4 linked regions of the Oryctolagus cuniculus genome follow. The protein of the gene in region 1 purifies or fractionates together with the protein of each later gene. This does not show direct contact. Links are inferred from orthologs where the notes say so. Each region holds a gene or a part of one and is shown in the gene's direction. Other genes may lie near its edges.

What was found. The genes of interacting proteins can lie anywhere in the genome.
Region 2: the proteins of JUN (region 1) and DHX9 purify together in Homo sapiens (affinity purification with mass spectrometry; 3 studies listed by BioGRID and IntAct, with this or other methods). This does not show direct contact. The link is inferred for Oryctolagus cuniculus from reciprocal best matches to the Homo sapiens genes JUN and DHX9.
Region 3: the proteins of JUN (region 1) and cyclic AMP-dependent transcription factor ATF-7 purify together in Homo sapiens (affinity purification with mass spectrometry; 3 studies listed by BioGRID and IntAct, with this or other methods). This does not show direct contact. The link is inferred for Oryctolagus cuniculus from reciprocal best matches to the Homo sapiens genes JUN and ATF7.
Region 4: the proteins of JUN (region 1) and JDP2 purify together in Homo sapiens (co-immunoprecipitation; 3 studies listed by BioGRID and IntAct, with this or other methods). This does not show direct contact. The link is inferred for Oryctolagus cuniculus from reciprocal best matches to the Homo sapiens genes JUN and JDP2.

Annotation. Positions count from the first base shown.
Region 1 is NC_091438.1:114,256,303-114,262,732, forward strand, and holds JUN (transcription factor Jun), read left to right. Parts: upstream 1-3,703; coding exon 3,704-4,717; 3' UTR 4,718-4,818; downstream 4,819-6,430. UniProt on the Homo sapiens protein: Transcription factor that recognizes and binds to the AP-1 consensus motif 5'-TGA[GC]TCA-3'.
Region 2 is NC_091444.1:1,028,267-1,035,782, forward strand, and holds the start of DHX9 (ATP-dependent RNA helicase A), read left to right. Parts: upstream 1-3,044; 5' UTR 3,045-3,194; intron 3,195-7,206; 5' UTR 7,207-7,228; coding exon 7,229-7,339; intron 7,340-7,516. UniProt on the Homo sapiens protein: Multifunctional ATP-dependent nucleic acid helicase that unwinds DNA and RNA in a 3' to 5' direction and that plays important roles in many processes, such as DNA replication, transcriptional activation, post-transcriptional RNA regulation, mRNA translation and RNA-mediated gene silencing.
Region 3 is NC_091442.1:56,607,115-56,614,783, reverse strand, and holds the start of cyclic AMP-dependent transcription factor ATF-7, read left to right. Parts: upstream 1-3,197; 5' UTR 3,198-3,365; exon of another isoform or gene 3,366-3,697; intron 3,698-7,669. UniProt on the Homo sapiens protein: Stress-responsive chromatin regulator that plays a role in various biological processes including innate immunological memory, adipocyte differentiation or telomerase regulation.
Region 4 is NC_091451.1:21,435,956-21,443,475, forward strand, and holds the start of JDP2 (jun dimerization protein 2), read left to right. Parts: upstream 1-3,048; 5' UTR 3,049-3,201; exon of another isoform or gene 3,202-3,215; intron 3,216-3,378; exon of another isoform or gene 3,379-3,604; intron 3,605-3,702; exon of another isoform or gene 3,703-3,916; intron 3,917-7,520. UniProt on the Homo sapiens protein: Component of the AP-1 transcription factor that represses transactivation mediated by the Jun family of proteins.

The DNA of each region.
Region 1 (6,430 bases):
GAAGTGATGAGCCACTTCCAGGTGGGTGCTCTGGGAGCCAGCAAATGATTTACTGAACTCTCTCCCTGCAGCCAAAATAGTTGTAGAAGCCCATGTCAAAACGAAGCCTCCTTGGGCTCAAGTCCTCGAATGACTACAGCGAGTAGAGCTGCCTACAGCGCTCCATGGGCACGGAGCAGAAGGAAGGGCAAAATCCTTAGTTGGGTTAAGCTACTGAAATCAGGGTTGTTCTATGGGACAGAGAACTGGGAGAGATGAGGCTGAAGATAGCAGGAGCTACATTACGAAAGGCCCCTTCCCCTAGGCAAAAGACAGGAGTCCGAATGAATTCTCTCCTGGCCCTAAGGAAAAGGCAATGGAGGCTTCCAAGCAGGGGCGTTACCACGAACAGATTTGTTATTTTTTTGGATGAAATATGCTATTTCTCAACATAAGGGGAAAATCAAGCCTACTAAACCACAGAAGGCAGAGAGGAACACACAGAACCCTTAGGCAAAGACATATATTTATACAAAGTCCTCAGTCTCGGAGTTTCTAAATACAGAAGCTCTGGAAGGAGCTCCAACCAGAGGGGCGCAGGCAAGAAGTCTCTGCCACAAGCACGGTTTCCTCCACGGGCAATAGTTCACCAGACAGCCTGCAGGCCCATACAGCACAGACTTTAGATCAATTCCCGCGGGGAAGACACTGGACCTCTCCGGGCCTGTTTCCTGGCCTGTCTGACCCGGATAATGCTACCCATGTAGCCCTCTCAAAACGGCTGTGGGAGAAAACAGCGCACTCAAACCGCTCAGCAGAACACCTGGCGGATAGTAGGTGTGGAACACATGAAACTTCGTTTTATGACCATTATCATAAAAGCTTATTTAGTGCACCCACTGCCTGCCGACAACAGAAAATGCTTCAGGAGACAGAGGAAGTAACTGGATCCGGGCTTCACCGGACCCTCCTCCCCGGCTCAGCCCAGCTTGGCTCCCGGTAGCCAGTTACCCTCTACTGCATGAGTGAAAGCGCGGTGAGTGCCCGGAGTGAAGAAAAGTTGGCGGGTTTCCCACTGATACCAGCTGCTCTCGGTTTCTGAACTCGCAAAGCCACAAATACCTTCAGGCCCCCAGGCTGTGAGCCCAGAGCTGAATTCCCCCAAGTTCAGAAGCAGTCCGAATTAGACCCGGCCGAGAAACCCAAACTCCTGCGGGTCCCACTTCAAAAGCCAAAGCTAGACAGAGGCTTGAGAAAGAGCTGCCTTCTAATCCTTCCCTCCCTCGCCTCTCCCCCGCCACAGCTCCTCTCAGGAAAGTGCACCTGGTCCTGCCAGATCACATTCTTACATCCTGGCAAGCCAGCGCCGGCCTGCGAAATCTGCTAACGGGGCAGGGGGCCGCCCGGCGACCACCTCCCCCGGCCCGCAGACGGCCGCGCGGTGGACGCCGCCGGCCCTTCTGATAAGGGGCCTGAGGGGCCGGCAGGGCTTCCGTGCCTGGGCCCCTTCCCGACTCCGGTCTGGGTTCCACCACACACGGCCGTCGCCAGGGGTGGGGGGGCGGGGGCGAGGGAAAGGGCCGCCGCGAAGCAACCACTTCTATGGGTCTAGCGCTTCCTAGAGGCTGTGCGGGATATGGGCCGGTCAGCCGGCGGGGAGGGGACTGCCTCAAGCCCGCTTCTACTCGGGACTCCCTGCGGGACTTTTGGCTCTCGGGATTTGTTTCCCCGGGAGCCGGTGCAGGCGCAAAGAGCTGCGTGCGTGCGCCGGGTGCGGGATGTGTGTGTGTGTGTGTGTGTGTGTGCGCGCGCGCGCCGGGGCAGGAGGGCCACCACCGGGTTCCCCCACTTTGGGATCCCCTAAATGCTCGTCCCCCTCAGGATGCTGAGTTGTTCCCACCCCTTATAAAAGCCGCCCCCTCCGAGGCAGAGTCGCCATCCCCCGCAGGCGTCTCCCTAGGATCGCGCACGCGAGGACTCCGCCGAGCGCCCAGGGTCGAGAGATGCAAACCCGTCCGCTCCGGGCACTGCCACACAGCCGCGCGGACTGTCGCTCCAGAACTTGACCCGCAAACTTCGGCGCGTTCTCCACGTAGTGGTGTTGGGGGGAGGGGGGACCCGACTCTCGCGAGACCGCCTCCCAACTGGAGCCCACTTTCCGCTCGCCCCCACGGGGCACTCCGCGGAGCACCTTCAGGGCGGAGCTCCCGGCCCCCGGAAGTGCGGGGCGGGGTGGGGGGAGGGCTCGGACCGGGCGCTCGGCCTCCCAGCCCTGCACAAACGCTGGGGCGCCACTTGGAGCCCCCTCGACTCCGCCAAGTGGGGACACGCCCGCGCCCACTCGGCCCCAGGCAGCTGGCACAGCTCTCAGCCTTCCGTGACCCGCCATCCGCGTCTGGAGCCCTGAACTTGAGCCCCCGCCTCCGTCAGCGGCTGCGAGCGTCCGGCCGCCCGCCCGCCCGCTCGCTCGCTCGCGGCGGCCACCGTCACTAGACAGTCAAACCCCAAGACGTCAGCCCACAATGCACCGGGCGGGCCGGGAAAGACGGGCCGGGAGGGGACCGGGAAGAGAGGGGCTAGAGGCGCGCGGAGGGGGAGGGGGAGAGGAGGAGAAAGAAGGGCCCAACTGTAGGAGGGCAGCGGAGCATTACCTCATCCCGTGAGCCTCCGCGGGCCCGAAGAAGAATCTTCTAGGGTGGGGTCTCCATGGCGACGGGCGGGCCCGCCCCCCAGAGAGCGACGCGAGCCAATGGGAAGGCCTTGGGGTGACATCATGGGCTATTTTTAGGGGTTGACTGGTAGCAGATAAGTGTTGCGCTCGGGCTGGATAAGGGCTCAGAGTTGCACTGAGTGTGGCTGAAGCGGCGAGGCGGGAGTGGAGGTGCGCGGATTGAGGGAGACAGACACACAGACACAGTCCGCCCGCCCCGCCAGGACGCCCGTAGAGTGCGATCCGCACGGCTGCGTTGCTTTGCCAACTGCCCCGCGCTAGCGCCTGTGGATCCCGGGCTGGTGTTTGGGGGGAGCACCTGGAGAGCTGCTGCTTCTCCAGCCGCCCCCGGGGAGGAGAGCCCCACCGCACGAGCGCAGCTGACAGCCGCGGAGAGCGGCGACTGCAGCGGCCAAGAACTTTCCGAGCCGGGAGGACCGGGGACAAGTGGCCCGGAGTCCCGGAGCGAACTTTTGCAAACCTTTCCTGCGCTATTTGGGCTTGCCGCGGCGGCAGCAAAGAAAAGCAAGGCGGCGGAGAGAGGAGCGAAGAGGAGCGACGCGCGCGCGGCTCCGCTCGCCCCGGCCTCTGAACTTGACCGGCGCGAGCCGCTGCCGCCGGGAGCCCCCTGCCCCTCGCAGCGGAAGAGGGCACAGTCTCCGGGAGTCCGGGCGGCCGAGACCCGCCGCCACTGCGGGGCACCGCGCCGCGCCGCCGGGGAGCCTCCGAAGGGCGCGCAGTGAGTGACCGCGACTTTTCAAAGGCGGGCAGGCGCGCGCGAGCGGCCGAGGAGTGCGGGCGAGCGTCTGAACCCCGCCGCTCCCGGGAGCGGGGGCCGGTGAGCGGGGCGCCCAGGGGGAAGACAGCCCGCGGGTGCGCGCGCGCTCCGAAACTTTTCCTTTGCCAGAGGCCCGGGGAGGCGCGGGGTGCTCCCCGCCCGCCAGCGCGCTGTCGCGGCCCCGAAACTTGTGCGCGCAGCCCAAAGTAAGCCCACGTGAAGTGACGGACTGTTCTATGAGTGCAAAGATGGAAACGACCTTCTACGACGATGCCCTCAACGCCTCGTTCCTGCAGACCGAGAGCGGCGCCTACGGCTACAGTAACCCCAAGATCCTGAAACAGAGCATGACCCTGAACCTGGCCGACCCGGTGGGCAGCCTGAAGCCGCACCTCCGCGCCAAGAACTCGGACCTCCTCACCTCTCCCGACGTGGGGCTGCTCAAGCTGGCGTCGCCCGAGCTGGAGCGCCTCATCATCCAGTCCAGCAACGGGCACATCACCACCACGCCGACCCCCACCCAGTTCCTGTGCCCCAAGAACGTGACCGACGAGCAGGAGGGCTTCGCCGAGGGCTTCGTGCGCGCCCTGGCCGAGCTGCACAGCCAGAACACGCTGCCCAGCGTCACGTCCGCGGCGCAGCCGGTCAGCGGGGCGGGCATGGTGGCTCCGGCCGTGGCCTCGGTGGCGGGCGGCGGCGGCGGCAGCGGCGGCTTCAGCGCCGGCCTGCACAGCGAGCCGCCTGTCTACGCCAACCTCAGCAACTTCAACCCGAGCGCGCTGAGCAGCGGCGGCGGGGCGCCCTCCTACGGCGCGGCCGGCCTGGCCTTTCCCGCGCAGCCCCAGCAGCAACAGCCGCCGCCGCCGCCGCAGCCGCCGCACCACCTGCCCCAGCAGATCCCCGTGCAGCACCCGCGGCTGCAGGCGCTCAAGGAGGAGCCGCAGACCGTGCCCGAGATGCCCGGCGAGACGCCGCCCCTGTCCCCCATTGACATGGAGTCCCAGGAGCGGATCAAGGCGGAGAGGAAGCGCATGAGGAACCGCATCGCCGCCTCCAAGTGCCGGAAAAGGAAGCTGGAGAGGATCGCTCGGCTGGAGGAAAAAGTGAAAACCTTGAAAGCGCAGAACTCGGAGCTGGCGTCCACGGCCAACATGCTCAGGGAACAGGTGGCACAGCTGAAACAGAAAGTCATGAACCACGTTAACAGCGGGTGCCAACTCATGCTAACGCAGCAGTTGCAAACGTTCTGAGGACAGACTGTCGAGGGCTGAGGGGCGACGAAGAAAAAGAAAACAAAACCAACAGAGAGACAGTCTTGCGAACTTGACCGGTTGCGACAGCGAGAAAAAAATAAAAAAGACGCGTCCGAGGACTAAGGCCAAGGGTATCCAAGCCGGGCTGGGTTGCGTCCTGACGGCGCCCCCAGTGTGCACGAGTGGGAAGGACTTGGCGCGCGCTCCCCTTGGCGCGGAGCCAGGGAGCGGCCGCCTGCGGGCGGCCCCGCTCGGCGGAAGGGCTGTCCCCGCGCCATCACGACGGTAGACTTTTCTTTAACATTGACCAAGAACTGCATGGACCTAACATTCGATCTCATTCAGTATTAAAGGGGGGGAGGGGCGGGGTGACAAACTGCCATAGAGACTGTAGATCGCTTCTGTAGTACTCCTTAAGAACCCGACCGGGAGGGCTGGGGAGGGGCGGCGGGGGGCGGGGAGGGAGCCGGGGAGGGCCAGGCTGAGCCTGCAGATACACTCTTTCTGGCCTGCCTTCGTTAACCGTGTATGTACAGATATCTATTTTTTAATTTGATGAAAGCTGATTACTGTCAATAAACAGCTTCATGCCTTTGTAAGTTATTTCATGTTTGTTCGTTTGGGTGTCCTGCCCAGTGTTGTTTGTAAATAAGAGATTTGGAGCACTCTGAGTTTACCATTTGTAATAAAGTATATAATTTTTTTATGTTTTGTTTCTGAAAATTCCAGAAAGGATATTTAAGAAAATACAATAAAATATTGAAAAGTAATCCCCCCCAACCTTTTTTCTGCATTATCTCTAGATGCTAGGTAATCTGGGTGCAATCAAGAGAGTTTTAGTGTCCATCAGGATCGCTCAGTACTTATTGCTTTCAAGCAGTACAAACTCCTGGATTCCCTACTGAACTTTAGAAATAAGTGGTCCTGGTGTTATCATCAGGTCTCAGACTTCCCAGTTGATCACCAGAGGGTAGTGGGGGGTGGGAGAGGGTGGGTCCTGGGGACTGGAGGAAAGGGGGTTTGGGGGCAGAGGGGCAACCCACTGGCAAGTCAGACACCTCAAAGTTTGGGATTCCATCAAGTGGCAGGTGCTGGGACCGTTTGTAATGTTGGTCGAAATTTAACAGTACATGCTTATTCTCAAAGCAGGAACCCGGGGCAGATCTTAGAAAAGATGTATCCTTCCAATTTGGAATCTTCACTTTAACAATGCTAAGATTTAAAAAGATGGCCTTTGCTTATGAATATTCATAACAGATTCTTGTCACAATAAATGTATTCAAATACCAATAACAGATTTTGAATTCCTTTCCCATTACTACTTTTTCCCCCCCCAAGCTGAATACTGGAGCTTTTTCTTTTCAGTTGCTGGGGTTAACATTACTTTATTCTGGAGTTACTTGGTAACGAAGAAGCAAAGAATTTAGAATCAAACTAGAAGTTCTGTGGATGAAACATTCTCCAAATTTCATTAATGTGCGCTCGCACGCGCGCGTGCTCTCTCTCTCACTTTCCTTCCCCCTACCCCCAAATAAACACCTCTGCCCAAGGAAATTAGCAGTATAGCAGTTTACCACTTGGGATCCCTGTCTGTAGTTGATTCCTTGTTTGTAAAATAATCAGTCTTGTCTAGAGGATTATTATAGAGTCAGTTTTAAAGCTGCTTATCTAAATATGGAAAAGATTCACAAGAGAACACGTGAGCAGCAG
Region 2 (7,516 bases), on another chromosome or scaffold:
CACGGTAACTAACGCAGAACCACTGCCCTTGTTCCTTGGAGATAACACGGCAGGGACAAGACGCAGCCTGGTCTTTCCATCAGCCCCTCCGATTGTACTGTTTGAAGCTTCTGCTTTGTACTTAATAAAATTTCACTTCTGCTCTCACCGTTGTGTCCCGTCTCGCCTGGCTCCTGGCTCAGTGCTTCGCCATGGTCCTTTCTCCCACCAGCCCATGGCAGCGGCCAGGGTTCCCTGCATGGGGCAAGCGAAGCCAGCTTGTGTTCTACTGCAAGTCCTCGACCACTTCTGCGGGTTGTGCTGTAGGAATGAATCGTCTTCCTTTCTTTTCACAATCTGATTAACAAAAGCTAACTGCCAACTTTGTGCCTAATTAGAATGATTGTTTTTAACATTTATTTATTTGAAAGGGTTATGGAGAGAGGGAGTGGCAGAGAGAGCGCTTCCATCTGCTGGTTCACTCCCTCCATAGCCGCAATGGCCAGGGCTTGGCCAGGCCGATGTCAGGAGCTTCTTCTGGGTCTCCCACACGCGCAGCAGAGATCCAAACACTTGGGCCGTCTTCTGCTGCATTAACAGGGAGCGGGGTGAGACACGGGGCGGCAGAAATGTGAGTCTGCACCCGTAGGGGCCGCCGGCACTGCAGGTGGCATTCAGCCCACGAACAACGTTTAAACAAACAGTGCTCGCTGAAGAACCCCAGGGACTGACGGCAGGGAAGCGACTGGAGTCACAAGGCCCGTCTGGAACTAGACCCACCTCCCGTGAATTGCTAGATCTTGGCTCAAAGATTCTAGCAGCAAACTTTTCCCAGCATGCCTTGGAAGTCTGCCTGTCACCGAGCCCCTGCTGTTGCCTACCTCCCCACCCCGCCCCACCCAATAGTCCTTTAAAAATGCTCTTTCCTAGCAAGGGGGGGAAGAACTGGGACTAGATGTCTGCTTCCCCCGGTCCGGTGGCCTCCTGGGTAACCCTGTCTCCCTACTTCAACTCTTGCCTCGGATGCATTGGCCATTTAGTGCTAAGAAGGCTTACTAATTCTTCAGTATTGTTTATGGGGGTGGGTAGGGGCCCCCAAATTATGTTGCAGAGGTCAAGAACCCTGGCCGGGCTCAGAGAGACCACCGGCTGGATTCAGAATACAACTGGAGATGCAGAGGTGAGCGGGAGAGCAGGGTTTGTTGAAAGGCAAAGGGACAGAACACACGTGGTATGGGTGACATCCAGCTGGACCGTCCTGTTTATCGGGTCAGGAGGTGCTCAGCACAGGGTGACCTCCGGGCATTTGGGGCATGATGGGGGGGTGGCTCAGCTGCCTGAGGAGGAGTGGCTGTGCCGGTCTCAGGGGGCGGTGGGACTGGGGCAGGGCACATGGCGTGGGGGTGGGCAGTCCTTAGCTCCTTGTCCCTCACTGACTCCCTGCCTAGCCCCGAGCTCCCGCCTGTGCTGAGCAACCGTGTGTTCAGACCGTCCGACTCACAGAGGCGCTCAGTGCCCGGGGCTCATCTCCGCAGCCTCCGGGTGCGCCACCTGCACAGCCCAAAGCGTGGAGCAGCAAGAGCTCCGGTCTGTCCCTGAGGGCACCTCCGCTCCGGCAGCACAGATGCACGGGGAAGACTGCCCGGCCGAGCCAGGCAGGGAAGCAGGCGGATGCCCCCGTCTCTGTCTCCCAGCCCGTCCATGCCAATCCAGCACGCCCGCCTCCCTAGGGCGCACCTGGTCTCCCACACTACACAGGAGACGCCGTGAGGTCAGGTGCCTGTGGGGATGGGGAAGGGGGAAGTGTCTTCAAGCTCGGTGTCTCCCCCAAAGCTGTCTTTAGCAAGACAGAAGTGCCGATCTCAACCTTGTTTCTAGAAGTTACTATGCCACCCTTCAGATGGCACTGTTGCACAGCCCCCAGAGGGCTGACCTTTGATGGCCCGTCCCCAGCTGCGCTCCGCCAGTTTCCCGCATCTGCCTCTCTCAGGTCCCTCCTGGCTTTGCTCACCGCCTCGCCCTGCGTGGGGTGGCACCGAGGTCGCCTGTCTTCGCCTGCCTCACCTGTGGGACCCGGCGGCCCTCCCCTTGCCCTCTGTGGACACCCAGTCCCGGGCAGCTTCTCTCCTATGGGGTGACTGCACGACGCATTCTCATTCTCCCACTAAGTGCAGCCTGCTCTTGGTCTTAGCCTCTGCTTTGAATTACCGCAGGAGGCTGGGGGTGGAGACCGGGACTTAGAATGAAAACGGGGACACAGTTCTGTACGGCCATAAGAAGTAAAGCCGCCGCCTGCAGTGCCGGCATCCCACAGGGGCGCCGGTTCCAGTCCCGGCTGCTCCACTTCCCATCCAGCTCTCTGCTATGGCCTGGGAAGGCAGTGGAAGATGGCCCAAGTCCTTGGGCCCCTGCACCTGCGTGGGAGACCCGGATGGAGCTCCTGGTTCCTGGCTTCTTATCGGCGCAGCTCCGGCCGTTGCGGCCATCTGGGGAGTGAACCATGGGATGGAAGACCTCTCTGTGTCTCTAACTCTGCCTGTCAAATCTTTTTTTTTTTTTTTTTTTTTGACAGGCAGAGTTAGAGAGAGAGAGAGAGAGACTAGAACCCGGGGTGCCGGCGCCGCAGGCGGATTAGCCTAGTGAGCCACGGCGCCGGCCATCAAATAAATCTTAAAAAAAAAAAAAACCCACACAACAAAAACCGATTTGCACGTGGGTATACGGGAGCAAGACGGGCGGGACCCCGAGGCCGACGGGCTGGGCGGGCTGAGGGGAAGGCGCGGGCGGGGGCGGCAGGGAGGAGACGGGAGCGGCAGCGCGGTGCACGGCCGGCTCGCTCCGGCGGAAGCAGGTTTCCCACAGAAATGCAAATTTCCTTCACAAAGGGACAGCCGGTCAGCCCAGCCCCGTCCGCGGTTTCTCGGAACCTGACAAAGAGCTACACCGCGGGCCGCCCCTCTGGGAGCCCGCGCGACCGGAAGGCCCCCGCCGCCGGGGCGGGGCGTCACCGGAAGAGGCGGGGCCGCGGTCTCCTGGGCGACGGCGCAGCGGCGCGGCCCTGCCCGGGGGGGGGCACGCTTCAGCGCGCCGTCTACGCATGCGCCCGGTGGTCCCGCCCCTCGTGCCGCCGTCGGCCATTTCGCTGCTGTTTCCTCAGTGCAGCCTGGGCGTGAGGGCGTGCGTCCGGCCACTGTGCGGAGCGGCGAGCGGTCCCGGTGAGGGAGCGGGTCCCGGGAGGGAGCGGGCGCTCGTCCGGCCTCCGTGAGGGGCGGGAAGCGGGCCCCGCGAGGGAGCGGGCGTGTGAGGGGCGGGCGCCCGGGCTCCGTGTGGGGCGGCGAGCCGGCGGGTGAGAGCGGGCGTCAGGCATCTGTGCGGGGCGGGGAGCCGGCGGGTGAGGGGCGGGGAGCGGGCGTGTGAGGGGCGGGCGTCAGGCCTCCGTGCGGGGCGGGGAGCGGGCGGGTGAGAGCGGGCGTCAGGCCTCCGTGCGGGGCGGGGAGCGGGCGGGTGAGGGGCGGGGAGCGGGCGAGTGAGGGGCGGGCGTCAGGCCTCCGTGCGGGGCGGGGAGCGGGCGAGTGAGGGGCGGGCGTCAGGCCTCCGTGCGGGGCGGGGAGCGGGCGAGTGAGGGGCGGGCGTCAGGCCTCCGTGCGGGGCGGGGAGCGGGCGGGTGAGGGCGGGCGTCAGGCCTCCGTGCGGGGCGGGTGAGGGCGGGCGTCAGGCCTCCGTGCGGGGCGGGGAGCGGGCCCTGCGAGGGAGCGGGCGGGTGAGGGGCGGGCGTCAGGCCTCCGTGCGGGGCGGGGAGCGGGCCCTGCGAGGGAGCGGGCGGGTGAGGGGCGGGCGGGTGAGGGGCGGGGAGCCGGCGGGTGAGAGCCGGCGTCAGGCCTCCGTGCGGGGCGGGGAGCGGGCCCTGCGAGGGAGCGGGCGGGTGAGGGGCGGGCGTCAGGCCTCCGTGCGGGGCGGGGAGCGGGCGGGTGAGGGCGGGCGTCAGGCCTCCGTGCGGGGCGGGGAGCGGGCCCTTGTGAGGGAGCGGGCGATCATCCGGCCTCGGTGCGGGGCCGGGAGCGGGCGGGTGAGGGCGGGCGTCAGGCACCCAGGCCTCCGTGCGGGGCGGGGAGCGGGCCCTTGTGAGGGAGCGGGCGATCATCCGGCCTCGGTGCGGGGCTGGGAGCGGGCCGGTGGATGAGGGGCCCTGCCTCGGCCCGGGGCCTGCCGCCCCCTCCCCGCCCCCTCCTGTCCCCGGACTGCCCTCGCCCGCTCCCACGCGGGAGGGGTCGCCGGCCTGCTGCACTGGGTCCCGTCCCTGGCCCCTGTCCTTACCTCTCAGGGGAAGTGAGGGCGACAGAGCGGCTGGCCCGCGGGTGGGGGCGTCTGGGGGCCAGTGAGGAGGATTGAGGAGTCCGTGGCCACACAGGCGGATCTGCAGCAGCACTGCCAGTTAGGAGTCTTAACTGTTAGGGGGGTGGGGGGTCGGGGACTTCCAACCTGAGTAAGTTGGCCAGGAGCCCAGCAGGTGCGGGAGAGGGAGTGCCCCGTTCTGCCTGGGCTGCGTGTTACGGTGCAGACGGCTGTGAGCCTGCCGCGGACCAGCCAGCTTGGGAAGCTTCAGTAGAAAGGTCCCAAGTGTTTGTTATGTATGTGCGGTATGATTGTTTCAGAGTTAAATGACTGTGGAGGAAGAGAGGAATTTGATATTGCAATTCTTCAAAGTTCATGTTACCCTGAGAACTTGTTTTTTAAATGAATTATTCAGGGGTGGAATTTCCAGAGCTTCCCGTGGCTCTTCTGTTAATGGGCTGTTCCTTCAGGTGACCCAGCAGGGCTAGACTTGGCCACCGAGTAAGCCTAGCGGGTTTATGCAGGGAGCAGGCGCGTGGTACGGACTTGAGTACTGACCGAGGGCTCTGGACGTGAACAGAAGACGAGACTGACTGCTGGTAACAGATCTCCTCCCAGGAAACCGCACTTTCTCTGGCTTGAACGTGGTCTCCAGCATCTTGCTTGTTGCCTAGACTCCTTGTAAACGCATAGGCTCCAGCAGGGAAGTGCGAAGCATGTGCTGCACCTGAGGGAGATGTCTCTCAGACCGGAAGGAATAAGAGGTCCTGAAGCAGATACTGGGTGCAGATATTACCTTCACAGCGCCAAGAAAGGAGTGCTTACTGTGTCTGCTAGCACTCAGAATCAGAATGAGAATAAATCATGGGGCTTATGCACGATGTGATGTACCCTTTCTTAATCTAGAAGTTGGGTTTGAATTCAGATTCCCATTATGAGTGGCTTGGAACAGTTCTGTAAAGTGCAGTAATAGGATCTATCCTGTTGTGAAAAGAAAATGAGTTACTACACATGAGGTACCAATTGTAGGAGATTATATAAACTATTTGTTAAACATTCATAGTCCCCAAAGGCTAGGCACTATTTCTTTCCAGTTTTGATTTTTTTTATAGATTTAATTATTATCATGGCTTGACACTAGATTTTGGCAGTGCCTTGTATTTTTTTTTTTTTTTAATTTTTTACAGATAGAGTTAGGCAGTGAGAGAGAGAGAGAAAAGTCTTCCTTCTGTTGGTTCACTCCCCAAATGGCCGCAACAGCCGGAGCTACGCCAATCCAAAGCCAGGAGCCAGGTGCTTCCTCCTGGTCTCCCACACGGATGCAGGGGCCCAAGCACTTGGGCCATCCTCCACTGCCCTCTTGGGCCACAACAGAGAGCTGGACTGGAAGAGGAGCAACTGGGACTAGAACCCAGCGCCCATATGAGATGCCGGCGCCGCAGGTGGAGGATTAACCAAGTGAGCCACGGCGCCAGCCCTCCAGTTTTGATTTTTATATATATTTGTATGTAGTTCAAAATATACAATGTCAAAATATACAATGTTGTATCCTTATGTCAGAAGCTTTCTGCTTACGTCATTAAAATTTCTTCCTGGGCAATTTTTTAAAAAGATTTATTTATTTGAAAGAGAGGAATCTTCCAACCACAGGTTCACTCCGGACAGTTGAAATGGTGATGGCTGCAGTGGCCATTGCTTGGCCAGGCCAAAGGCAGGAATTTTTTTTTTTTTTTAAGATTTTATTTATTTATTTGAGAGGTAGAGTTAACAGACTGAGAGGGAGAGATAGAGAAAGGTCTTCCTTCCACTGATTTACTCCCCAAATGACCGCAACGGCTGGAGCTGCACTAATTCGAAGCCAGGATCCAGGAGTTTCCTCCAGGTCTCCCAGGTGGATGCAGGGCCCCAAGGACTTGGGCCATCTTTTCCTCCTTTCCCAGGCCATAGCAGGGAGCTGGATCAGAAGAGGAGCAGCCAGGACTGGAACTGGTGTCCATATGGGATGCCAGCCCTGCAGGCGGAGAATTAACGCACTGTGCTGCAGTGCCTGCCCCTAAAGGCAGGAGCTTCATGCAGGTCTCCCACATAGCTGCAGGGGCCCAAACATTTGGACCATCTCTGCTTTTCCTAAGCCATTAGCAGGGATCTGGAAATGGAGCAACTGTGACACAAACTGGTGCCCATACGGAATGCTGGCGTCACAGGCGGCGGCTTTACTGCTATGCCACAACACCATTGTAAATCAGGATATTTTCTTGGGTGTGTTAATATTCTCAAGTCTTTTATCTTGACAGTTGATAGTCATTTGAAATTTGTATTATTTTCATGTTTTCTCACTGAACTTCAGGGAGAAAATGTGTTCTGGTTTTCAGTGGAAAACTGTTAAAGGATTCCAGAAATAATGAAATTAAAATTGACTAAGTTAGCTGTATTAACTAAATCATTTGCCATCAGGTAATTTATCTTTTGCAGTCTGAAACTGATGAGATTTTTAATAGGTTCAGAATCTGCTCAAATATAGAAGTTCAGCCAAACAGCTTCAGTAAAAGAATCTTGAAAAGTACAGAGACGACACCTATCCTTCATATCATAAAAGGAAATCTCTCCTGATTTATAGTCTAGGAAAATGCTGACCCTCCTGTGTGCTGCTACCAGCAGAAGCTGGGTTCTCCTGGGACCCAGGGCAACACATCCATTTGTGGCGCGTTGCCCAGTTGCCCAGACGCTGTCCTGGACTGAGGCCTGATTCTGCTGGTTCCTTCTTCCTAGACAATTTTAATTGCATGATAGATTATACTGTACTTAATTTGGATTCTCAGCAGTTTACAATTTTTGCAAATACTATGCTGTTTAACCAACTTTAGTGGGGTTTTTAGTTGTTTTTCGTTTTTTTAGGTTTGAAGAACACACCTGAATCATGGGGGACGTTAAAGATTTTCTGTATGCCTGGTGTGGCAAAAGGAAGATGACCCCATCCTATGAAATTAGAGCCGTTGGGAACAAAAACAGGCAGAAATTCATGTGTGAGGTACTGAAGAGTATTGTCTACTTATGAAGCTCAATTTGGGATTAAGAGCATTTTGTGTTAAGAAATGTGTATTGCACGTTGAAGAAGAGCAGTTCTTGTTTTTGTTTTTAAAGATTTATTTATGTATTTGAAAGGTATGAGAGGCGGCAAGAGAAGTCTTCCATCTAATGGTTCACT
Region 3 (7,669 bases), on another chromosome or scaffold:
CTCCATCTTCCTCCTAATGTGCACACTGGAAGCAGCAAATGATGGCTCAAGTGCTTTCGTCCCTGACATGAATGTAGAAGACCCAGGTGGAGTTCCTGGCTTCAGTCCAGCCCAGCCCTGGCTATTGCAGGCGCTTAGAGAATGAGCCAGTGGATAAAAGACCTCTCTCACTCCTTCTCTGTCTGTCTCTCTCAGTCTTTCTGCCTTTCAAATAAAGAAATGAGAGACTATCTTATTTTTAAAAAGAGAAGAATACTAAAGGGAGGAGCCAGCTCTGGGGCGCCAGCATCCCCTATGGGCACCAGTTCAAGTACCAGCTGCTCCACTTCTGATCCAGCTCTCTGCTGTGGCCTGGGAAAGCAGCAGAAGATGGCCCAAGTCCTTGGGTCCCTGCACCCACATGGGAGACCCGGAGGAACCTCCTGGCTCCTGGCTTCAGACTGGCACAGCTCCAGCTGATGCGGCTATCTAGGGAGTGAACTAGCAGATGGAAAACCTCTCTTTCTGTCTCTCCCTCTCACTGTGGCTCTCCCTCTCAAATAAATAAATAAAATCTTGAAAAAAAAAAATAAAGGGAATCTTCACGGTGAAATGAAAGGATACTAGGCAGTCATTCTAATCCACATGAAGAAATAAAGAGCACCAGTAAAGTTAACCATATACTTAAATACAAAGATATTTTCGTGTAATTTTGTCTATAACTGTTTTTCTCCTATCATATTTAAAAGGCAACTGTATAAAACAATCATTGTAGACCTATGTTAATAGGAATACACTGAAGAAATGTGATTCATATGATAAGAGCACAAAGGAGGATTTAGGAAAATAAAGCTGGACATCATTTGTATACTGTTAAAACTAAGCTGTTATTAACCCACAATAGAGTACTATAAATTAAGAATTTATTGCAATCTCAAAAGAATTAAAATAGCACACTAGAAATATTTATTTAACATAAATAGACAACAGTAATGGTGGAAGGGGGAAAAGGTATACAGAGAATAAATATCAAACGGCAGGTATAAATACTAGCTTATCAGTAATTAGACTAAGTGAAAATGGGGCCGGCGCTGTGGCATAGCAGGTAAAGCTGCTGCCTGCAGTGCTGACATCTCATATGGGCGCCAGCTCAAATCCCAGCTGCTCCACTTCCGTTCCAGATCTCTGCTATTGCCTGGGAAAGCAGAATATGGCCCAGGTGCTTGGGGCCCTGCACCCACGTGGGCGACCTGGAAGAAACTCCTGGCTCCTGGCTTCAGATTAGCCCAGCTCCAACCGTGCAGCCATCTGGGGAGTGAACCAGCAGATGGACAATCTCTCTCTATCTCTGCCTCTCTGTAACTCTGCCTTTCAAATAAATAAATAAATCTTAAAAAAAAAATCCACAACAGGCACATCCACAGAGACAGACCCTCATGATTGCCAGAGGTTGGTGCAGGCTAAATCATGAGCAGCTGGCAGTGAGCACGGGTTTCTTTTTGGGTGATGAGAACAGTCTGGGATTAGAGAGTGGTAACCGTTGTGTAACTTTGTGAATATATAAAAATCACTGAGCTATGCACTATTAAAAGGTGAGTTTTAGGATCTGTGAGTTATATCTCCATTCTAAAGATGTAAATTAAATAATGGGTGAAGCCAGGAGCTCAGAACTCCAACAGGGTCTCCCTTGTGAGTGGCAGGGGCCCCAGTCCTCGGGCCATCTTCCACTGTTTTCCCAGGTACATTGGTAGGGAGCTGGATTGGAAGTGGAGCAGCTGGGGCGCAAACGGGCACTCAGCCCCTATCACTGTATTCTTTTAAGTAGGAATTGTTTCAGGGGAGAGTAGATGGGAAAGAACCTGAGAGATTCTATGCCTCTCTCTCACTTTTGTTCTCTAGGGAAAAACCACTAGCATCCCGGAGGGTGCAGTGAAGACCTGGAAGATCCCAGGTGGGGAGCTCAGAAAGCCAAACACAGATTCCATAAGCAATATTGCAAGCCTACTCTCCTTATTAATTTGAACATTTTTAAGTTTTTAGTTGTGGTTAAAACACACATAACATAAAGCTTATCATTTTAACCACACAATAAGATTTTGACTGTCACCTCTGCATTTGATGTTTTCCCCCCAAATCTCCCCCAGGGGCCATCTCCTCGTGGTCAACCTCATGGTTTGAACACTACTTCCTCAAAGAGGCCTTCTTTTAACAACAGGAGTAAAAAGTTTCTCTCCCACCCCAGTCACTTTGTCTTCTTCCCCCACCCCCAAGCACTCTCCACTATTTGACAATTTGGGTCTGTGGGCTTATTGATTATTTCCTCCATCCCCTACAATAAATAGCCATTCTCCCAAAGCAGGGGCCTCCCTGGTCCACCTGCTCTTCTCCACAGCCTAGAACAGTGCTTAGCACACGGTGAGCCCTATTACGTCTTGTGAAAGCACTTATTGAGTAAAAAATACATATATTACACACACATACAAACACACATCTATAGTGTTAATTCCCTAGCAGTTTCATGTATCTCCCTTGCTTACTGCAACTCTGAGTAAAATGGGATCCTAGCCCTACTGTGGAAAAAGCGTTTGGTCCAAGGCCAGGGGGCCATTACATGGCAGCGGGTGGACCGCGCAGGAGGGCTGCTTTTCCCAAAGCATTCCACTCCAGTTCCAAGACTAGGGGCATTTTAAGTGACTCTGCCCTTAAGCCTATGAGGACCCTGAAAGGCAGTAGAAACGACCAGCACATGCTTTTTTAAGTAGCCATTTCCTGGGTTGAATGAACCCTTACCTCTCCCTCCCTTCCCTCCATCCCCCACCGCACATTGAGCTGCCACAGGGTGGGCACTCTACGTGCAAACAAGAGCACACAACTACTCACCCGTTTGGGACCCTGAGTACCCGCCTCGCCTCCGCCCCAACCCTTTATACAACTTGGCCGAGGTATAACCTTGTCTCGTTTTAAAAATGTGCTCCTTTGACACATCTCATACCCCACTGTTTGCATCTCCACCACGACATGCACCTGTCAAGGCTCCCTCTCCTCCCGTTTCCTTTCTTTGCCGTCCCCCGGCCCCCCGACACACACACACACACACACACACAGCCCGGATTCCACAGCCGAACACGTGTGGCCTGTGTGTACAGAACTCGCTCAGCCGCCCTCGCCAGCCCGGCCCACAGCAAGCCCCGCCCCTCGGCCCCTCTCCAACTCAGCCCCCACAGATCTCGCCCTTCCCCACCTCCACCCCCCACTTCTCGCGAGAGGTGAGCGCGTCTGGCCGGACGGGAGGAAAGTATCTGCTCCGCTGAGGGGGGAAAGAAGGAGCTGGAGACAGATTGTGGGACCGAGCGCGGGCGGGCGGGAGGCGTCGGAGCTACCAGCGGGTGAGTCCTGTTCACGTTAGCTAGTCCATGATCTGACGGGAGTCTCCCCTTCAACTCTGGCCAGTCACGGCGTCCCGGGCCGGGGTCTCCCCTCCCAGTCTGTGTTGGACGGGGGCGCTGAGGCGGTGGCCGGGCCCTGTCTGAGGAAGAGGGTGGGGCGTAGACTAAGCGCGGCCAATAAGAGAAAGGGCAGCCACGATTGGCGGCGGTGAGCGCTAATGGGAGGTCGAGTTTACCTCGCGGAGTGACGCCCCTCTTCGCTCCCTCCTCCCGCCTCCTTCCTTTGGGGGGGAAGGCGGGGCCAGAGGCCTGAAGTGTGGGGAGAACTTGGGGTAAGTAGCCCCGGGGGGCACAGGGCGTGGCATGCAGGGGGCACTTGAATCCTGTGGGAAAGGTGTTCCAGCGGAGCCTAATGGAAGGGTCCTGGAAATGGGAGGAAGAGGAAGGGCAGCGAACCAGACCCAAGGGCTTCCCCAAGAGTGGGGTTAGAGGCTTTGGCGTTGGAAAAGGCAGAAGTAATAGCCAGGAAGTAGGAATAAGTAGGTGAGAACCAGGATCCTGATCAGGTGGAGACAGGCGCTGGATCTGACTGGAGAGATCGGGGTTAGTGATTGCAAACGAGGGTCGTAGCGTTTCTGTCGAGTTCATCAGAAGAGTGTCGGGGATGCGACGTGGGCAAGAAAGTAGGGGTTTGGAGAAAATGAAGTGAATGAGTTGAAGAAGGGGTGTGGGTGGGCTGAGCTGGCCAGGAGGCACGGCGGTGGGCAGGCTCTGAGAGCTGAGAGGAGTTGGGGGCGGTGTTTGGCTACAGCCAGGTGTCCCGGGCAGGCCGGGACCCGGGGATCTGGCCCCCCGACGGGTGCCCCGCCTGCAGGAACGCGGGCACAGCGGGAGAGGAGAGAAACGGGGCGCTTGCACCCCTCCTCCTCCTCTCCCCGCTTCCAGACTCACAAGGGGACGTGGGCTCGGGACTCAGTCCCGGGGGGGGCCTCCACGCCGCTCGGGGTTGCTTGTTGTGTTCTCGGGCTGCAGTGTTTACTCCCCGGCGCACCTCCTACCCAGACTCCCGCCTCGCTCCTTTCCTAACTTCAGCCGTTGGTTTCCCGTGAGCAGAGCTTGGTTTAGCCCTGTCACCTTACGCCTGGGTTCGTAGCTGGTGTGCAGAGTTTTCCCCGCAAGTTCTTTCAATTCCCACGCTTACATTTTTTGCAGTAGTGCAATGCCTGTAGAAGCATCAGTCCTTACAGACATTGGAAGCACAAAGACACTAAAATTAAGTTTGTTTTGTTAAAAGTATCTTCTTCATGCGTTCTTGAAGAGTTGTTAAATGGATGGCTGCAGTCCGTTTATCTGTATTTTTTTAACGGTGTAAATAAAATAGACGCGTGTTTCAGGAAAGTGGAAATTTCTCAGTTTCTTCCTTTGTGTTTAGACTCAGAAACTGAAGATATGTCATAATATGTTAGGGTGAGGGTTTGGGAAATCAAACACAATTTGTACTTAAACATGGAGAGTGCAAGGTAAGTGGAGGCTGTTGCGAAATGTACCGTGTTTGTAAGAAAAGAAGCTAAAGAAGAGTTTGGCAGCTGTGCTAAGTAGTCTTACCAGTTTGTTCTTAATTCTGTACAGAAAAAGGAAAGGCCTTTGCCCTTTGTGTATCGTTTAATAATGCACTAGACTAATAGCAGCCGATTAATTGTTTTTGCTGTGGCATAGATTTTTCTTTTGCATTCCTTCTCTACTTTTACTTCTGAGAAGTAAAATAATATCTGAAATAGCAGTAAAGGTATTATATGAAGAGAGACCAGATGATGTAGTTTTGTAATAACTTTCGATTTTCAGCAGCCAATTGAAGCTTTTGCTCCTGGTAGGAAGTTGCCCCTACAGCACATTGAGACCAATTAATTCCTGACCCCTTAGCTACTGAGTTGGGCTAGTATTTTACATTAAGAGCTTTGCTATTGAACATTCAGAACATTTTCACCATTTGCCTGACACATTAAAAAAAAAAAAATCCAATGAGAGAGCAAAGTCCCTTGCTTTTGGTCTTCCAGAGACTTTCTGATGGCTTTGACTTGGGCACTGTTAAGTGTATTAAGTACGAGATTTTGTTTTTCTCACTAATGTTGCCGTCAGGTAGAAAGCTAGAGAGAGCTGCTCATTTTTCAACTTGTGGATCGAAGTTTACGCTCTGCGATAGTGTCAGTGTTGTTAAACACCTCTGGTTTTCCTGACTTTAACACATCAACGCCTACCATTTCCATGTCTCACTCTCTTTCCTCGCTTCTAACCCAAAATGAAAATTATTTTTTCAACCAACTCTTAACGCTACTACTTTGCCTCAATGTGCAGTCCACGACTCTGGTCAACCACAGCTGCTCTGAAATCCTCGCAAGTTGTTGCTTTCTGCGGGTCAAGACTGAGCTTCCCCCAGGCTGCAGTGGGAGGGAGTCGTGTTCCACGGCGGCGGGCATCCCTGTCCGATATGGAGGAGCCGCCTCCTTCAAGGAAGTCTTAGGTGGGGCAAATGGCTCTGCCATGCAAATGACGGAGAGCGCTCTCCTTGCACTGTTGGGCAGGCTGGCCTGTAGCTGCCCATGTCTCTTGACAAAGGTACTGCAGATGCAGATGTTGTTTCTTTGAGGGAAAATCAAATGCAGCATTCATTAAAAAAGAAAAAAAATGTTAATTTTGTTGTTGTTGGTTTCTCTGAAAATGGGTCTATGACTTTGGAGTTCATGAAAAGTCTTCTGTCTCTTTAAAAACATGTCATAGAAAACAATTGTAAGATTCTCTGATGTGCACTCATTTTTAAATGTTCTCTTCCGAGGCTGGTGTTGTGGCATACCAGGTTAAGCCGCTGCCTGTGACACTGGCATCCCATATGGGTGCCAGTTTGAGTCCTGGCTGCTCTACTTCTGGTTCCAGTCCCTGCTAATGCCTGGGAAAGCAGCACAAGATGGCCTAGGTCCCTTGGCCCCTGCACCCACCTGGGGGACCTGGAAGAAGCTCCTAGTTCCTGGCTCTGGCCTAATTTGCCCTGGTCATTGCCACCAGCTGTGGAGTAAATAAATGGATGGAAGATTCCCTCTCTCTGTTTTTCCCTCTCTCTGTAACTCTTTTAAATAAATAAATAAACCTTAAAAAATAAAAATAAATGTTGCCCTTTGCCAAGAGGCTTCTTTGGGATCACATATATTCAGGGTATATGAAAACATCATATTTAGAACTCCAGATTGATGACCTTTTTTTTTTTTTTTTAAAAAAAAAAAAGATTTATTTATTTATTTGAAAGGCAAAGTTACAGAGAGGCAGAGGGAGAGAGAGAGAGAGAGAAAGAAAGATCTTCCACCCACTGGTTCACGCCCCAAATGGCCAAAATGACTGGAACTGAGCCAATCTGAAGCTAGGAGCCAGGAATTTATTCAGGTCTCCCACATGGGTGCAGAGGCCCAAGCACTTGGGCCATCTTCTGCTGCTTTCCTAGGTTCATTAGTAGGGAGCTGGATGGGAACTGGAGCAGCCAGGGCTCAAACCGGTGCTCATATGGGATGCCGGCACTGCAGGTGGAGGCTTTACCTGCTACACCACAGAGCCAGTCCTGATCATTGGGCTTTTAACTTCTGAATGCTCTAAGGAAAGGTCCCCATTCGCAGATACCATGTTTCATTGTTAGAGCGCTACATTTTTATTTATTTAATTTTTAAAAATTTTTATTTATTTGACAGATAGAGTTAGACAGTGAGAGACAGAGAGAAAGGTCTTCCTTCCATTGGTTCACCCCCCAAATGGCTGCTAGGGCCAGAGCTATGCTGGTCAGAAGCCAGGAGCCAGGTGCTTCCTCCTGTTCTCCCACATGGGTGCAGGCACCCAAGCACTTGGGCCATCCTCCACTGCCTTCCCAGGCCACAACAGAGAGCTGGACTGGAAGAGGAGCAGCCGGGACTAGAACCGGCGCCCATATGGGATGCCGGCACCCCAGGTGGAAGATTAACCAAGTGAGCCACGGCACCAGCCCGATTTATTTTTAAATACTTTTCTTTGTTTTATTTGAAAGTCAGAGTTCCACAGAGAGAGAGAGTGATCTTCCATCCACTGGTTCACCTCCCAGATATCCTCAGTGGCCAGCCCTGGGCCAGGCCAAAGCCAGGAGCTTCATATGGGTCTCACATGTGGGTGGCAAACACTTAGGCCATCTTTCGCTGCTTTTCTCAGACCATTAGCAAGGAGCTGGATTTGAAGTGGAGCAACCAGGATATAAACATCCCATATGGGATGCCGGCATCACAGGTGGCAGCTTTCTT
Region 4 (7,520 bases), on another chromosome or scaffold:
TGCCAGTTCCTAGTTTGTAACTCTGGTCCGCACAGTGGAGGATGATCGCCCTATCTCAACTCCAGCCGTGCTTATAGTCTGTGTCATGTAATTCTCTCTCAGCTGCTCCTGGTGTTGCTGTTCATCTGTTTTGTCTATTTTAAAATTTACTTATTTGAAAGGCAGGGGGGAGAGAGAGAGAGAGAGAGAGAGAGAGAGAGAAGACTGACCTTCCAAACACTGGTTCACTCCCCAATGATCACAACAGCCTGGACTGGGCCAGCAAAGCCAGAAGCCAGGAGCCTCAGCTGGGTCTCCCACGTGGGTGGCAGGAACTCCAGTACTTGGGCCATCATCTGCTGCTTCCCAGGAGCATTAACAGGGAGCTGAGTTGGAATTGGAGTATCCAGGACTCAACTAGCACTCTGATTTGAGATGTTCCTATTCATTAGTTTTTAAGTCATTCTTCCTAACTCGATGGCAAGTGAGAAGTGAGGAAGAGTCTCTCTCTCTCTCTCTCTCAGCAGAGCATCAGAAAGAGCTCTTATTCACTGGTTCAGTCTCCAAACACCTGCAATGGCCAGGGCTGGTCCGGGGCTGTAGCCAGGAGCTGGGAATTCAATATGGGTCTCCCACATGGATGACCAGAACCTGATTAACTTGAACTATTTACTTGCTACCTCCCAGGGTCTGCTGTAGCAGGACAGCGGAGTCAGGAGCTGGAGCTGGAGCTGGAAATCAAACCCAGGTGCTCCCATCTGGGACAGGAGCGACTTAATTGCTAGGCTCCCAGGAATCATGCCTTCCACTCTGTGTACCTTGCAGGCACAGACGAGATGTTCAGTAATATTTGCATGAAGACTAGCTGTTTGGCAGACTACCAGAACCATCACTTCCTGCTTTGATACTGGAGGAACAGGTCTGAGGGATTGTTTTACTTCACCATTTCACTTCTTCCCTTTGCAAAGAGCTTAGTTGTCATCAACGTCCAAATGCACCAGACGTGCGAAAGCCAGTGGCCTCGTCAGGATTTTTCTACTTGCAAGGACTCGGAGGCCCAAGTTCAGTAAGGTACAGTTTGCTGATTCCTGTAACAGAGACCTCCAGAGGCAGGGAAGGTGTCAGCCGGGCCTGGACACAGGATCTCAGCGTCCTGAGAACGCCACCTGCCCGCGCCTTGGGGACGACTCCCCTCTTCTCCGCTCTGCACTGTGTCACCCTCAGCCGACCCCTAGCGTGTGCTGGCTTCCAGCAGCGTCTCCTCTGCACAGTCCCCATCTCTTCCGATTCACCTGGAATATGCAACAACCTCTAAGGCTGCCTCCTGGCCGGGGCCAGTGTCTTACGAGGACTCTTCTAGCTGCGACTGAGAGGAAACCTAAATTCAGACTGCTTTCAGCTGAGTCATTTGCCCCTGGGAGCCAGGGGTGTAGACCAGCTCCACATAAGGACCAGCAGGAGAAGCAGGCCACCGTCGGTTTACAATCCTCCCTCCAGTCACTTCCCTGGGAGGGGGCGGTGGGGCTGGAGGGAGGTCTTGAAGCTGTGTTTGCACAGCATCCTATATAAAATGGAAAAACGCCCGTATCAAATAACAGGAGAGAACTAGTGGCTATTAGAGGGAGATGGAGCGGGCCCAAGACCGCCCAGTCACCCCCAAGTACCACCCCTGTAGCTTATTTAAATATTTGTGGGGGGAGGCCCCACCACGGTCCAAAGCAGGCCCTGGAGAGCACCTGCTCCAACCACACACGCTCATTTCTGGTCCCTGCGCATAGATCAGCTTCGTTTGTTCAAAGTCCCAGCCGACGACACATAAAGTTTCACGACACATAAAGTTTCAGTGTCGGCTTCCACATAAACGTCCAAACCTCGGTCTCCTGGGAGAAGCATCCTAAGGCAGCTTCCCGGTCCCCGGCTTTGATGCTGATGCTGATGCTGCAGCGAAGGTGCCGTGGGGTTGAGTCCTGTTCTCCCACAGGACTATCAATGATGATGTGTTCTCCAAGCCTATTCTTCTAGGGCCTGGCCCCCTCCTTACTGGCTCGCATTCATGTCCCAAGGGAGGCTGCTGATGGCCAAGGGGAAGACTGGCCAGGCCGGCAATGGCCATGGGGACCTGGTCTGCCTTTCCTCCCACGGGACCAGTGCTCTGATCTGGAAAGATTCCACTGCCCAGGAGTGGCAGGGGGACTACAACCACATGGCAGGCAGACTGGCTTGAGTGTTCTGTGGCTCCCACCTGTCTCCAGTCCTGTTGTTCCTTTCATTCTTAGCGTCTGCCCTCCAAGAAGGCTTGACCTTTTCCTTTCACTTCCTTTCTTCTGTGGGAAATGACCTGGCATCACCCTGAGAAGGAGGCTAGAGGTCACCGGGTATCCAAGTCTTGGGCAGAGAGGTAGGGGGTTGGCTGGGCACCCAGAGGGGCCTGGAAGGTGGCAGGCATCGAGAATGGTGCCAAGGTCTCAGGAGCCACGCTTCTGCCCCCAGGGTTCTGGGCCTTTAAGGACTGGAGGGCACCACCCAGCACCATTCCTTCTAGCGTCCCCTTGCCCATCTACCTCTGGAGGAGGATGGCACAGGGCCACTGCCGGGCTGCTGAGGGCTGGGTCAGCTCCGGAGGGGAAAAGGCACAGCCTGCGGGAGCAAGACAAAAAGCCCAGGGATCAAACAAGCCGGGCGCGGGGCGGTGGAGCTGTCAGGCTGCAGCCTTGGGTGGGCGCCCGGTGGGCAGGGGTACAGGTTCCCCCAGGCACCATCATCCTGGGCCCATCTTTCTGCATGCCCGCTTGTGAGGCCACCTCCTCTCCCCTTCGCTTCCCAGGCGTCCAAGCTCGGAATCGTGCTGACACCATCTAGGTCCGGGAAAAGGCTGAGGACCCAGAAGGCCGTGCCCCGACGCCCGCCCCCCCCCCCCCGTCCTCCCACCCCACCCCCCCACCTCCCCCGGCGATGCCTGCCCGGGCTCTGAGCCCGGCCCTCTCTTCGCGCTCTCCCAGGCGGCGGCTTGGGCGTCGCGGGGCGGCCGTGCGCTGGGGATGCGCTTACATAACCGCTCGCCGCGTCCTGCTCGCTCCGCGCGCGTCCCGGAGCCGCGGGCTGGGAGCGCGGGGACACGCGATGGAGCCCGGGCAGGCGCCGCGGGGCCCGGGTCGCCCCTGCGGGCAGAGCAGCGCGAGCAGCCGCGGGAGGAGGGCGCCCGAGGCGGCGGGGGCGGTGAAGGTCAGTGGGTGTGAAGCGCCGGATCCACACCCCCTCCTCCTCCCCTGTCCCCTCCTTCCCTTCCTCTCCGTCCCCCTCTGACGTCTGGAGCTGGCAGCTCGGCCGGTTCCGCATTCCCGACCCCTCCCCGCCGCCCTGGGGCCGCTATATAGCCGGGGCTGATGCAACCCGTCCCGCCGCCCGCCACTGCCTGCGGGAGGGACGCTCGGCGGCCGCGACGGGGGGCGCTGGCGGCGGCGGACGCTGCAGCGGCGGCGGGGCTGGCGCCGCGGCGGCTCCCGGGCCGGGACGGGCCTGGGCACCGGGCGGAGCTCCGCGGCCCGGCGGCAGCGGCGCGGAGTGTGCAGGGCGCCTGCAGCCGGGCCCCGGCCCCGGCGCCGCCTCCGCCCGCGGCTTCTGCACGGTGGGTGCGAGGGCGCGCGCGGGGCGCCGGCCGCGCGGGTGGGGCGGGGCGCGCCGGCCGCGGGCACCTGGGACGGCCGCCCTCGCGCGGGCGGAGCGCGCAGAGTCCCCCGGCACCCGCGGCCCGCGGGAGGCTCCCCGGGACCGCGAGCTTTCGAGGCGCGGGGCGTCCGGGAGCCGGTGGCTTCCCTTGGTTCCGGCCCCGGGACGGGAGGCTCCGTCCGCTGCCTCCTCCCTCGCGCGCTCTCCTCCTCCGTCCGATTGCTGGGAGGCGCTCTCCTCCAGCGGCGGCGGCGGTGGCGGGGAAGGCGGGGTGAGTGGGGAGACAACGGCCCCTGTCCGGGAGCCGGGGGCGGGGCGGGGGAGGATGACAGGGACCTGCCGGCCGGGAGGAAGCACGGCTCCCGGAGGACCCGGGGGAGGGTGTGGAGGAGGGCGAGGGGTCTGCATCCGATGCAGGGGGCTTTTCTCGGATACTCCGCTGCATGGTTCTGGGCTGGGAAGGGTCCTAGGGATGGCCTGGGTCGGCTTTGGGGGTTCCGCGTCTCCCGGCCAGGTTACATAAGGAGGCAAGGCAGCCCCTCCGGAGATGCTTGGAATTCTCAAAGGGGCCCGGGGGCTCTGGGCCTTCTGCCCCGTATCCCTGGACCCCGGGGCTGGCAGAGCCAGGATTGGCTTGGGGCAGTGGGAGGAGCGGCAGCTACACGCGGGGATGCAGTGATGGAAGGGTGGAGAGGCTGCAGGAAGAAGTCGCGGGGACCCCTTGGTGTAGTAGCAGGATTGCCTGGCCCCTGCTGGCTGAGGCCCCCTCCCCTCCCGTGTGGCCCCCAGGGCCTGGGGCTGTGGCCTGACAGCTCCTGCGCAGGGCGGCAGGACTCCAGTCTGTGTGGAGAGGGCAAGCAGAGTGTGGGTGTGTGTACCCAGGTTTAAATCCTGATGCACTCACCCTGGCTGGGAGTTTGAGAAGCCTGAGAAACTGAAGCTTGGCGCGGTGTTGGGTGCCTGCTTGTCCTTTGAGGCTCTGTGTTAACCAGTCCTCTGCCCTCCCCCGCCAGCCTCCCTTCCCTGTGGGTTTTCTAAAGAAACCTCCCATTGCTTTGCGTTTCCAGCAAATCTGGCTGCAGGGAGAGTTCGATGGCTTATCTCCCTTTGCAGGTTTCTAGGGGAGAGTGTAACCACGCATTAGGTGTGAGGTGGCTCCACTTTTATATGAACCCGAGGTTGGGGGTGTGGGGCGAGGAGAGAGAGAAGCAAGGTCCATTCTCATGCCTCTGGGCTGCTGGGGTTCGGCTTAGCTGAGGACAGGCAGGGTGGGCCCTGAGAGAACCTCTTCTGTCCCTGCTCCTCTTTCTCGGCTCCAGCGCGGCAGGCAGCTCCAGAACCTTCCCCCAAGAGCTGGTTGCTGAGCTATTTGAGGGCTGCAGCAAGGTGTGCGTGTGGAGGCCTTTAGCTTCTCTCCTGAGTTAGCTGAAACCCCATCCTGGGCAATGTGTCCCTATGTGGTGACAATGACCTCTAGGGAGGGCTGGGTAAGGGTCTCCCCCCTACTCAACCGCTACTTAGCTTTGGCAACCCCCAGGGCACACACCTCCTGTCTCCCCAACCTGTTCCCGGGCTGTGTGGGCATCTTTTCCAACCTGCAGAAAGCCTTGGCAGGGCCAGGCCCTCGGGCCTTGCTTGTTGAGCCGCCCCTGGTGTTGCAATGGACTGGCTTTCTCTTTCGAGTGCCTCCACTTCCAGCTCCACGCTGGGAAGGAAGGGGCTGGTGCAGACTCTGGGCTGGCCTGCTCTGCGTTCATTCAACCCCAGCTCTACTTGAGCAGTCAGAGCCAGGGCTGAGGGCAGGCTACATTCTTCTCTGCTACAGGATGTAGTTTGCTTTTTTTCCATGCGAATGAATTATGTTTGAAAGCGAAATGGGCGGAAGAGAAAAATAGAGTGAGTGTGTCTGGGTATAGGTGCACATACCTATATAGGCGGGTGGGGGGGAGAAGCAGGCACATTATTTTTCCATTTTCCTTTAATTAAGGCTCTGTGGAGGTGTGTTTGAAAACAGAGGGTCTCCTATGCCTTAGGAGGGTGAGAACACTCTTTTGGCTGCGTCCTGGGCCATATGCAGCGTATGGTGGCCAATGAAACTGGAACTGGCTCATTCTCCTGCTTGTCTTGGCAGGCGGTCCCGTGGCTTGTGTTACCAGCTCTGGAACGTTGGGGCTGCCAAGCTCCGTGTGCCTGTGTGCATGTGTGTGCGTGCGCGCGTGCACTCTTGTGCGTGTGTGTGGTTTGGCCCTCTCAAAACTCAGCAGAGACAAATGCCTTAGCAACCCACGCTTGGAATTTTCGGCCTGGGTTTCTTTACACGTGGGGCTGGCTGTGGGAGGCCTGAGCGGAGCCCACCGTCCTTGGCTTTTCTCTCCCCCGTTCCTCCCCACCTCTCCTTTTTGGTCTAGTTTCTGGCTGTAGCCCGTGGGATTCGGCTGTGGTGCTGATTTCCAAAGCAGGAGCTGGCCAGTGGCACTTTTTTTTTTTTTTTTTTAAAGGACCAAAGCAATTATCACACAGCACGTGTGTGTCTGTGTTGTGCGTTGTGTTATGAACCCTGCCACTGAGAACAGAGCTGACAAGCTTGGCAGAGGGGCGACAGCTGGGCCGGTGCCAATGTCTTCCCTGGAGGTGTGGACTCCCAGGAGGGAGGATCTCACGTGCAGTCGCTGGCCAGCTATGTTAGGAAGAGGACAAAGCTGGCTTCCCAGGCAGGCTTGTTGGAAGCATTTTTCCAGTCTCCAGGGAAGAACAGGCATCCCCTAGGGCAAGGTTCCCAGTTCTTCTAAGGCCCGACTGGCTATGCAGGAATCATGCGGTGGCTCCTCCTGGCACTGGCTACCCGTCACCAAATGCTTAGGGGAACCCCAGAGGAGCAGCCCCTCCGAGTGGCACAGCAGTGCCGGCCCCCACTCTTGAGGGCCACCTGGTGGCTGTACCTCATGGCCAGTGATCTGTGCAGCCGTGTCCCGGCTTGCAGGGTGGAGAAGACCTCAGAGGGATCTCTGAGGACAGAGGGCAGGTGCCCGGCCTCATTTCTGCACCTGTGTCGCTAGCCCTTGGCCTGGCATCTCTGGTTGCAGCTGTGTAGTTCACTGCCAGGATTCAGGATGGCCCTGCCCACTCGGGGTGTACCACTGGGAAGTGGGCGAGCAGGGAATCCTCTGGGGAAATCCTCTAGGTGGCTGTAAGGAGGGGAGACCACTGTCAGGGGGAGCAGTCCGGAAGGGACCTCTAAGGGATCGCCGCCGAGTCTTCCTGGTTGTGTGCAGGTGCAATTCCAGGTACTTTCCAAGTCTTAGCTAATTGAATCTCTTGGCAGCCTTAGCGGGCAAGTAACACTGTTCTCGCCTTAGAGCTGAGAATAGGGAGGTGCAGAGAGGTTAGGGAACTTGCCCCGGGCCACATGGCTGGGGTCTGGCTCTGAAGCCTCCCCAGGTGCCCCGCCTGCAGAGCTGGGCCAGCACCTGCAGGGGCCTGGTCCTCATTCTGCGGCTTGCAGCTCCCCCTGCCCCTTTGCTCCTTGCCGCCTGATCTCCTTGTGCTTGGAAAGCTGGTGGACCTGCATCACTGACCTCCCAGCAGAGAGGCAGTCCCAGATGACTCCTTAGCGCCAGCCAGAGGTCTGCTGTTCATTCTGCAAGCCTCGCGGTGACGGGTCCCATACCCTGTGGCCACTGGCCTGCCACCTTTCTGCTCACTCCGTGGACTCCTGCCCCTGCAGCCGCTTGCCTCCTGGAGGTCCTCCCCCGCTGTTTCTCAGCCCTCCTTGGTGCTGATGCTCAGTTCCTGGCTCCGTGCCCTTGACTTCTGACCCCAGTTCTTGCTACTGGGGCTTGCTCTTGTCAACTCCAACCTGCCCTCACCTCCACCCT